Linked DNA regions of Oryzias latipes. The protein of the gene in region 2 purifies or fractionates together with the protein of the main gene of each other region. This does not show direct contact. Links are inferred from orthologs where the notes say so. Each region holds a gene or a part of one and is shown on either strand. Other genes may lie near its edges.

Region 1 (3,654 bases), on a different chromosome or scaffold from region 2:
AAATCAACACTTTTTATCCCTTTGAACTCAAATATATCTTCATAAAGTGGCTCCTATGCTTAAAACATGATTCAAAATAAATTACAAATTAAAAAATAATATATATGTTTTGGAATAAATGCTTAAACATTTGCAAATTAATGGGGGAACAATGTTGTCTCAGAGGTGAAAATGATTGGGAAACGGATTTAAATCCTGAACTGATTTTTAGTTGCTAAACAAACATTATATTATAGTGAAGAATTCCATTTAAATCTTGAGATAAAAAGTTAATGTTTTGCCAATTTTAACTAAATTATCAAGTTTAAAAAAAACATTTTTAAGGCAGTTTAAAATATTTTCCCTTTCTGAAGGATGGTAGAACAGGCAAAAGTGCAGATTTTAGTTTAATAAATGTTTTTCACTGAAAGTAGAGAAAAAAACAAGTTTTGTCGTTTGCACAGAGGGGCAAAATGAAACTAACTGAATAACATTAATCAAGAAAGTCCCTAAAATAAACAACTCCCACCCCTCTGTTCAGTAAATTAACCCAACTTTTGCTCTGTTCCTTGTTTTTGGTCACTTCTATAGCCTCCCTTTGTGGTCACTGCCTTTGGTTTTTTAAATGATCCAATCTAACCTTCATGCAGAGAAAATTTACTTTACTTTAATTACTTTTTAACCCCTCGATATCCATCAATCCACTACTGCTCCAAACTTACCTTCATTTAGGACTCGAAAGAAAAAACAAAAGTGACAATTTTTCTTTCATCGCTGGAAACAGATTCAGGCGTCAAAGGGTTCAACATTTTCCCAGCAGATTCTGACTACCGGTAATCGTTTTGGGGTTTTGCCGCTGCTAAATGCTGAGTTGCCACAGGGGAAGGAGCTGTGTTGTTTTTAGTGTTTTAAAGCAGAAACAAGTGTCAGAAAATGAAGCTTTGATGTGTTTTTCATGCAGTTTTAAGGTCTACTTTCATGTTAACACACTTTAGAGCAGGGGTCCCCAAACTTTTTCCAGCGAGGGCCACATGACGTTTCCGTTCTCGGATCGGGGGCCAGGGTCAGTTTGAAACAGAAAACGTGTGACAGTCGCAGGGGGGCCAAAATGTCAACTGAAAGCCACACATAACCAAATGTTGATAACCCAATCTGATATCAAATAATCCTCTCTGGGTTATTCACCAAATAAATAAATAAATTATAATAATCAGCAAATATATATAATGAGACTCTTTATGAAATCAGTTAAAAAACAGAATTCTTTAAATAAAAAGTCAGGAAATATTAAGCAACAGTATTTTAGATTTTAGAAAATCAATAATAACCAAATAAATCTCTGTGGGTTGTTCAGAAATAAAGTTTCTGTTGTCCATGCACAAATTTAGGTAAATGTTCAACTTCAGTTGTAAGAGCAGAATCTCTTAAAGTTGTTGTGTTCTTTCCCCATAATCCATTTTGGAGTTTTTTTTAGGAGGTTAGTCTAGTAGACACCACTGTATGTTCTCTCTGATCAACTTCCTAGTTTAAATACCTGCATTCTGGATCAGTGTTTCAATTACCTAACCTTTTTGTCATTTATCCATGGGGAGGGGGGGTCCACATTCACGTTTTATGACTGGGGCAAAGTGAGGTTGCAGTAGCCACATTTTTAGCTTGGCTCACATTTCAATTTGAATAACCCTTGTGCTATCCTATGGGGTCCAGATGACCCGAGCCTTACGTTGACGTGTTCTCCCTACCATGACAAAGGTGGATAAAGGTGGAGAGGATTTCATCTAATCCACGGACACCAGTGAAGATCACAAATCATTGAAGCAAAAAGGTTCAGTCTAGTGGATCTAGATGACCCAACTCTCAAAGTTAAAGTGCCTAGGATAGCACAAGGGTTAAGCCTTATCGACGTGAGGAAACAATTCCAAAACGATTCAGTTTTCCACGCTTCCATGAGTCTCGAGCATGTGGCCAGCCTAAAGAAATAATGATGCCAAAATAAATAAAGGGTCTCTCTCTAGTATTGTTCAGGGGGCGGGGTCAAATAGGTGGGCGGGCCGGTTCAGCCTGTGGGCCGTAGTTTGGGGACCCCTGTTTTAGAGAAATTCTTTGCAATACCGACATGTATAATGACAAGAAAATATCAGGATGCTTAAAAAGGCACCAGATCACCTGGTCCTTAACGCACCACATCACTGGGTCTTGTGTGCAAAACATTGCCTGGTCCTAAACGCACCACGGACTGCATCTCACAGAAATGTACCTGCTCAGCCAGCCAGCCGATGTGTTTGAGGTGGGGGTGAGTGGGGGCGGCAGACGACGCCCCCAGGTACGCGTTGATGTGCGCCAGGGTGTGTGGGAGCAGCGCGGCGATGTTGGTGTGGATGGCGGTGAACCAGGAGCTGGCAGAGGGGCCGTCTTTGCAGCGCAGGACCACCGTGTGCTGGCCGTCCGGGGAGTGGAGCTCCAGCAGCCTGAATGCAACCAGAACGAAGGAAGATCTGACACCAAATCCAGCTCTCATTAAGAAAAGAGACACAAGGAAAACTGGTGGCTTGACCAGAATCTCTCATTTTTTACTACTCAACATCAGTAAATCTGTCATATTCTGAAATGAAGTTTGTTTCTGTCCATTCATTTGTTTATTTTTGGACACATTTCCCTCAAATTGAGCATCTTTTTTCTTTGAAATTCATATTTAAAGCATTTTGTCAGTACATTTTCAACATTTTTAATCTTTTCCGTGATTCCTTATTGTACTGATAACCTGATAACCAGGTCTCAAAGAAGGGACAGTTTTCACTTTGAATACAGTCAATAAAAGGGATACTTTTTTTAATTAATTAAAACATATAGGGGAGAGAACAACCAACTCCTTTATGAGTCTTGGGAAAGGTTAATTTCCACCATGACGATTTTTTTCAAGGTGATTTTTTAGGGCAGGCGTATAAAAGCAGACAGGAAACCTAAAATAGAAAGATGAAGAAAGTCTCTTGTGTGCAAATGAACCAAATTCCAGGTTATTGCATTTTTTATGACTAAGGCTTTTCTGCTTCATTATTTAACGGATGACAGATGCTGCTAATGCAGATGTTTTACAGAATGTGACCCATCAGTTTTAGTTCATAGACCGCTGCACAGAGCTCCCTAAAGAGCAAACATTCCAGAGGAATGAACAGGAAATGGCCACAAACCCACCACAAAGACCACACCTAACCTCCCACACGCCCAGGTATGTGTGTGCAGCGCCGGACCTGTTTTCCAAATCCGGCATGGAGAGGTTCCGGCTGATGAAGCACATCTTCAGGCTGATGACCTTCCTGTCTTTGGACGGGGAGGAGGAGCTGCTGTGTTTAGGAGAGCCCGAGTCCTCGCTGCCGCTGTAGCTGGGCGACTGCGGGCGGACGCCGTCCCACGGCAGGTCTGCGACCAGCGACGGTTTCTTGAAGAGCGGAGACACCTCACGAATGTACTTCACTGCGGAGAGAAGGAGACCCATTGATAAAAATTGTGTTTTTGTGGCATTTTTTTGATGATGGAGGCCATATATAAAGAAAATACACTGAAAATGACTTTTCTGAGTATTTTCTTCATGAATCAGGAGCAGAATTTGTGAGAGACCCGCTGGGGGCATTGATTTTCTCAGTGGTTCTGAGAGTTCTGCCATCAAAGCCATGTATT
Region 2 (3,613 bases):
CCTCTTCTCCCAGACAGCCTTAAAGGGTCCTGCAGGCCCACAGCAGCTCCTTCTCCTGGTACCGAAGCCCAAAAGAGGTCCAAATGTCCTTGGAGATCAGACACAAAGGGTCAGATCGAAGGTTAGCCCCACCCCCTTCTTTCATGTGAGTGCAGGGGGGGTAAACGTTACAACAGTTTGTTAGAGATGTGAGCAGAAATGGCAAAAACAGAAGAACTCATCAAGGATCTATGCATCAACACCTGTGTGGAGGACATGTCCTCTGGTCTACAACAACATGCATCCTGGGTCCATTGGACCCCAAACAGCCCCAAAGCCCCAGTGTGTCTGTCCACTGGTAACCCATCCATGGTGAACTCTAACCTCACTTAACAGGAACCAGGTCGGCTCCTGTGACTCTGAAGGGGTTAGGCGGGTCCCTCCCCTCATCATCTTCAGTCTTTTCAAACATCCAGGTTTACTTCAATAGTTGTTTCTGAACAGTCAGACGGTTCTTGGCTTCAGGCTGCTTTGATGAGCAGAGAAATGGAGCTTTTTGTCCAAATGTACCAAAGAGGACCAAGTCCAGAGTCCAGCCGTCAACCTGTGGACCTGGTCGTCAGCCTCACAAACACCACGGCGCCAGCAGCTGGACATAACTGCGTGCTTTATTGATACATAGTAAAGCATTTCGTAATACAGTAGTAAGGCATACATTTGGTGGAGTCTGATATGTCGTGAAGAACAGACGTTTGTTGATTCACGCACAAACCATCGGGTCATGCTGCTGCTGAGGATGTTCACTTCCACACAACACACACCTCCAGACCAGGAAGGGGCGGAGTCTGGTCTGGCTCTTGTTCAGCTTGGGCCGGATGAGTCAAATCGTTTTGGGCTGCGTTTTTGGACGGGTTGTTCTTGTTTCAGGTCGTGGACTTGGATCCTCCTGGTTGGGTCTGATACTTTAGCTGTTTTTGTATTGCATTGGTTTCTATTTTCCTTCTTCTGTCAGTCTGGTCTGTAAACCAACATCAGTACGGCAGAGACCGAGGACAGCGGGTGTAGGAACCAAACTGCACCTGTAAGTCCAACCCCGCCCTCTAGTTACAGACTGCACCTGTACTTAGCATGTCAGGTTACCACGATGGTGACAAACACCTATAGTTTGGCTCCAACAGCCATTCAAACAAAGGGGCGTGGCTCTACCTGCCCAGTTACCCTTGGTATGCAGTAGTCACACACAAACACACATCAGTCAGAAGCGGCGTCCTCTTAGAAAACGTATTATTACAATCATTTTTTGATAGAAATGTGTGAAATGCTCGGGCTGCTCGTCAATAGAAAGAGATCCGGTCTGTCCCTCTCCGTTTTTTTACAGTTTTGCATAGAAGTTTAAAAACCAGAGAATGACGTCAGGACGCGTTAAGAAACTACTCAGTCTAAGTTACAACAACCATCATTCACAAAAATAGATGTTAGAATTTCTTTGTAAACTCTTCAATCCAGTTGTTTCGACTAGAAAAGCATGCTTTATGTAGGGGGCGGGGCTAGAGTTCAAAAGGGCTGTCCCATGGCGTCCTGCGCGTCTGTCATGGCGATGACCGCCGACTCCATGATGGCTGGGGGTGCTGGGACCTGACGGGGAGGAGAGCAGACGTTAGCGATGTCACGTTCTCATGAATGAGCCTGCTCCTGTGCTGCCCCCTGTCTGTCAGGAGGACACACTGCAATAAAAATGGATGATGGGGAGTGAGGCACTGACCGCTCAAAGATGATGTCCCCTTCTCCCTCCTGGACCATGGAAGAGCAGGCGCAAGAAAGAAGATCAGAGCAGTGCTAGGATGAACAGAGAACCCCCCACACCCACCCCAATAAAACAGATGTGCCTTTTAACTGAGCTAACCTGAGGCTTAACTAGTGGGTAACTTTGGGCAGTTTTCCAGAGTTAAGCTTTTAGCTCCAGCGATGTCAGCGGCTACGCCTAAATATCACACACCCTTTCACTCACCGTAACATTATGATCATTTTAGATTAATTCAAAGAAAACGGCTTTGGGCTGATGAGTCAAAAGGAAAAAAGAGCCAAGCTGCCGTTCTTAGCATCACTATCTGTTGGTATTCTGTTACATTAACTATCATAGTTAGGATCAGATTATCACAGAATTACTGTAACTCTACGGAGGTCTAGGTGATTGACAGAATCGTATCAGACTTACAGAGTCATTGTAGCTCTATGATTGTTTATGTCATTCATAAAGATATACAACAGCTGTGTTTGTCAGCACAAAGCTGTTTCTCTCTGCTTCAGTTAACCGTGTAGACCAGGGGTCAGGAAGCTATGGCTGGCGAGCCATATATGGCTCTTTTGATGGTCACATGTTGCTCGCAGACAAATCTTTAATTATACTTTTTTTTTCATTAGACCAGTCCATCTCGGGTTTGATGCCATGCCAGAGGCGCGCAGTAGTAGCGGTGCTTGGAGAGAAAAATCTGCGCCAGCGCTATCAGTTACTATTATCTATTATTTCACAGAGTTTGTACCAACTGGAAACCTTTGAATTGCCGTGCCTGGGTACAGGCAGCAGGGATGGTAAAAACGTAAACCCGCTGCCCGTCACTCACTGCAGTGTGAGTGTGTGTTTGGCTCTATGTCTGTCTCACATCTACACCTACGCTCTCGTCTAGGCGGGAGAGAATAAGGAGTTGCTGAATTAATTGTACGGCGTTTGTTGCGGTCTGCAGTAACCAGAATAAAGAACCTCAAAAGAAGTTAAGTCTCTGTGCCTCAGTGTGGGAAAGGGACGCTACATTATTGTATGGCATTATGTGGCATTTATGGCTCTCTTGGCCAAAAAGGTTCCCGACCCCTGCTGTAGACAGTCAAAGGGTTAAAACATTTCAAAGAACGTCAACATGCAGCTAGAGCTCCACCGTTAAAGTCTCAGCTGACACGAGTTCACAGCAGGAAACAGAACTGAAAACAAAGATCCTCTGACGCTACATTTCTAATTCTTGTAGCTTAAAAGTTCCTAAAAGTCCACAGGTTGAGTCGTGGCGTCTGGACTTAGCGTCATCAGTCAGCCCAGACGCCACGACTCAACGTCCAGACAACGTCAGCTGATCAAACACCCAACACCTCAGCAGTAAGGAGAGTGGAGACAGCGCACCCTGGCTGTGAGGAAAGGTATTGTTGAGCTGCTCCATCACTTCTTTTAGACCAGATGCATCCTGGGAAGGGCTGGACAGATCATCATCACCTGCAAAGCATCAACAGATGTTTGGCGTTTTCCCGGCGGCTGATCGTGACAACGCCGCTGCGCCATGGCGGCACTCACCCATGGTGTCGGTGGTCTGGCTGGCGGCCACTCGTAGGACGGGCAGGGAGGAGTCAGAGCGCTGGGAGGAGGTGGAGGGCGAGGACAGGGCCGTACCGTTCACCTTGGAGTCCGTCTAACACACACAGAGTTGTTGATGTTCATCAATCTGGTGGTTTTGGTGACACTTTCAGACGCTTCTGTTGTCGCCATGACAACAGTAAACCTCATGGGGCGTGGTTTTCACCGTGCGTTCACACCGGGCTCAGAAACGCGCGTTGAAGCGACCACTCCCCTTGAAAAATCGATGTAAGGGTTTGG
Region 3 (3,654 bases), on a different chromosome or scaffold from region 2:
TTGATCTATAGATGACAAATGGTTCTTTAGAAAATCTCAGTGTAAAAAAAAGATAACAGTTTGAGTAAATGCAGGTTAAAAAAACATGACAAGTTCTGCATTAATAATTTCAGGATGCTGTAAGTCAGTGGGAGATGGATGTGCTAGAATAAGATCTTTAAAAAGACACCACAATAATAAATGGAATAATGGAGTAGGACTTAAAACATCATCATTTGGATTTTATAACTACACACTAACACACCAGAGAAGAGTGAGCACTGAAAGCAGAATTATTAAAGACAAGGTTTCTCTGAAGATTAAGCTTCAAGAGAGCCTCACTCAAAGCAGGTCACAACAGATTTGTGTAAAGAACAAGATATGATGACATTTTCTAATGAAATAGTAAAATATTGCACTCTGTAAGAAGCTGAAGAGGAAACGGATCGCTTTGCAAGGTACAAACAGCCAACGCACAAAGAAACTGAAATTCAATGATTAATGGAGCTGAAGCAAAACTGCTGGATCCCAAGAAATGAAGCCATTGATTAAAATATGCAATTTAAAAGGCCTTCAAAATGTCTAATAAGGAATTAACTTCAGAATCTGTGTCAAAAATAAATAGTACCATTTCTGGTAAAATTTAATCAACATTAGTTTAAATACTTAAAAGTTGTTCTATCAAAGGTTAATAAATCCAGAATCAAACTCTTTTATCTAGTATGTTCATATTATGCTACATCCCATGTATCGTCATCATTCAGGCAGGGACATTTTTTTTAATGGGAACAGCAATGCTCATGGTCATTTCTTAATAGATTTGTTTATTGATGTTTTCCATCTGCAGTTACGTTCTGCTGTCCTGTAGGCTCTTCAGCAGAAACTTGGTAGATTCTTTAATTTTTTTTTTATAAAAAAATTAAAGGCACTCTAAGTGAAAAAAAATTAAGAAAATAAATAGCACCAATTATCCTGAAATGTACACAAAATGTGCCCTCTTTTTTTTATCTAAACAAAAATTAAAACACTAGTTTCTAACACAAAGTGCAAAAAGAAATCTCTAACAATAAAAATTTCCCAGATTTTCTTACCCCTTAGCTGTTTAACAATGACAATGCACAGACATCAAAACAATGCAACACTAAATCTTAAACATTAAACTTTGTTTTTGCTGTCCAGATTTCTATAGTTGAAGTCGGACAATATTGATCCAGAGGATATATGCCCACGGTTTTTGCTTTAGATTTCTAGACTATTTATTTTTCTCTGGTTCAAATATTCTAGATTTAAGAAAAATTAGGTTTAAGAACAATTATGCATGTTATATATTTTAAAATGAATTTTGTTAAAAGAGGAAAATTATTCTAAAGGGAAAGAAGCTACACCCAAAATAATGGAAACTGCTCAAAGGGGCTTCCACCTACCTGGAGGGGGGGGGGGGGGGGGGGTTTTGATAAAAAGCATAGAAGGAAAGAAGAATTGCGAAGGATTGCAGCTCAGGACTGTTGCAAGCCATAGTAATAGATAGTAATTCCGATTACAATATAGAAGATTCTGCAGCAATATTGAATGGCTGAAAATTGTTATGCAGCCATTCGCACTGCGCACTGTTCATGTCTGTTGGGGCTTATTCCTCATCTTTAAGGATTTTTTGGACCTCCTGCATTTTTTTTTTCTTAATTGCGAAAACAATCTGGTCCTTGCAATCCATGACTGCTGCAGGACTTAATTAAATGTGCCTAGTTAAAACTGATCATCTAACCCTTTGTTTCAGATTTGAGAAAAGAGGCAGATTTGCAGCTGGTCTCTCACATCTTAGTTTTCAGGTTTAAAAGCAACAGCTCTTATGTAAATTTGCATATTCGTGTCCGCTTTACACCTTTGTTCGTTTTCTATAAGCCTTTTTATCCTCTACATGGTCACAGGATTTGCTGGCACAATCGGTGCAGAGTATTGGCTATATGGGCTGCCAATTAATTACAAGGCCACACACAGATAAACATTAAAAAAACACAACAAGAACAACAGCACTCAAACCTTTATTCAGTTTTAAATAATAAACTAATTATATCCTTTTTACGCTGTGCGGGTGAAATCAAATTCTTCAACCAAATACCTGCAGAGATTTCAACGAGAAGCTTTCTGGCTGTGAGTTGACCAACAAATCACCCTGCCGCCTGCTTCCAATTAAGAACAAGCTTCATTAATTAGACATACAATCATATTCAACAAAAGAAACATTTATTTTTGGGTATCACGGTAACCTTTTGCCCTCTTGTTTTTGTCAGGTTAATCACAACTGATCTGCAAATATACACTTTAGACCTACAGGGTCACATTTTACTACTGTGGCTTGTCGTTGATGTTTCTTTCCTTCTCTTCACGAGGTTTAGTTCTGCACAAAATGACATGCCGATGAAGGGATTGATTAACAGGGAAACTCTCAGAACTGTGAAGAGTGAAAAACGAAATCATGAAGAGAGATTCAGAGCCTGATGGAAAAAGAAACTCATCTTTCTTTTGGGAACACGGATGATGAAAGAGAAGACGGGGATAGGACAATCACAAGCTGCAGGAAAGCACAAACAAGAAGGAAAGATGGTAAAAACAGGCAGCAGGGAGGATGGATGATAAAGTATTGCTCACAGGGAGAGAAAACACTGTGGTGGAAGGGACACTAAAGTGGAGGCTGATGCCGGAAACAGACTGCTTTAAATCTAAGAAAAAAATCCTTCCTGTGTCTCCATTCACCTGAATATTACTGTCAATCAGAACCATCCAAAATGGCTGGAATAAAATCAAATGTGCTTGAGTAAAGCCTGACAAAATGAATCATTTTTAAACTTTCATGATAATAAAACACTTCCATTTTGACCAAGAAAATCCGGTACGCAAAGTCACAGTTCCTGAAATGACCACTGGGGGCGGGTTTCAGAAGAGAATAGTTTTCTATTAATGTCTATGCTAAGATTGATACCAAAAATAGAAATATATATATATATACAGTCTGGTTAGAAAAAAAAGGTTTGATTTTGCCTTATTTCCTATTATTGATAACTTTTTCTTGTTCAGTCCCCCTTTTTTTGAACATTGTTAATCATAGCAAAGTATTTCCATTCAACTAAAGTATTGCTATTCAGAGAATATAGATCTAGAGGATATATGTCCACGATTTTAACTAGAGGAGGTTTTTAGACTTTTTATTTTCTCTGATACCATAATGCTAGAAAAGGTTTAAGAACAATAATGCATGTTATATATTTTAAAATATATTTTGTTAAAAGAGGAACATTATTTTAATGGGAAGAAGCTATACACAAAATGATGGAAACTGCTCAAAGGAGCTTCCACCTACCTGTTCTCAGGATCTGGTGTGGTCATTCCTCGTGTTACATAACACATCTTCAGGGGTATGCACCTCCTGTCACCATTCAGGGGTGGTGCAGGCGGGGTAGAAGGACTGGGAAGGTCAGGGGAGGGGCTGATGTGAGGGCTGCTAGGACGGGGGGATTCAGGGGGCGGAGTTTCCCAGTTGATCTCTGACACAGGAGAACCCCTTTTGACATACGGTGTGGCCTCACGCATATATTTGACTGGAAAGGAAAAAAGCATTGCTTAGTCAATACAAAGACAGTAAAAACCAGTCTTTTTACATTTACTTGACCTTGTAACTCC

What was found.
Region 1: the proteins of dmd (region 2) and sntb2 purify together in Homo sapiens (co-immunoprecipitation; 4 studies listed by BioGRID and IntAct, counting the BioPlex papers as one, with this or other methods). This does not show direct contact. The link is inferred for Oryzias latipes from reciprocal best matches to the Homo sapiens genes DMD and SNTB2.
Region 3: the proteins of dmd (region 2) and sntb1 purify together in Homo sapiens (co-immunoprecipitation; 4 studies listed by BioGRID and IntAct, counting the BioPlex papers as one, with this or other methods). This does not show direct contact. The link is inferred for Oryzias latipes from reciprocal best matches to the Homo sapiens genes DMD and SNTB1.

Annotation. Positions count from the first base shown.
Region 1 is NC_019864.2:27,643,443-27,647,096, reverse strand, and holds part of sntb2 (beta-2-syntrophin), read right to left. Parts: intron 3,451-3,654; coding exon 3,228-3,450; intron 2,448-3,227; coding exon 2,237-2,447; intron 1-2,236. UniProt on the Homo sapiens protein: Adapter protein that binds to and probably organizes the subcellular localization of a variety of membrane proteins. May link various receptors to the actin cytoskeleton and the dystrophin glycoprotein complex.
Region 2 is NC_019860.2:218,282-221,894, reverse strand, and holds the end of dmd (dystrophin), read right to left. Parts: intron 3,429-3,613; coding exon 3,314-3,428; intron 3,236-3,313; coding exon 3,146-3,235; intron 1,771-3,145; coding exon 1,745-1,770; 3' UTR 1,742-1,744; intron 1,615-1,741; 3' UTR 630-1,614; downstream 1-629. UniProt on the Homo sapiens protein: Anchors the extracellular matrix to the cytoskeleton via F-actin. Ligand for dystroglycan.
Region 3 is NC_019874.2:10,569,702-10,573,355, forward strand, and holds part of sntb1 (beta-1-syntrophin), read right to left. Parts: intron 3,573-3,654; coding exon 3,335-3,572; intron 1-3,334. UniProt on the Homo sapiens protein: Adapter protein that binds to and probably organizes the subcellular localization of a variety of membrane proteins. May link various receptors to the actin cytoskeleton and the dystrophin glycoprotein complex.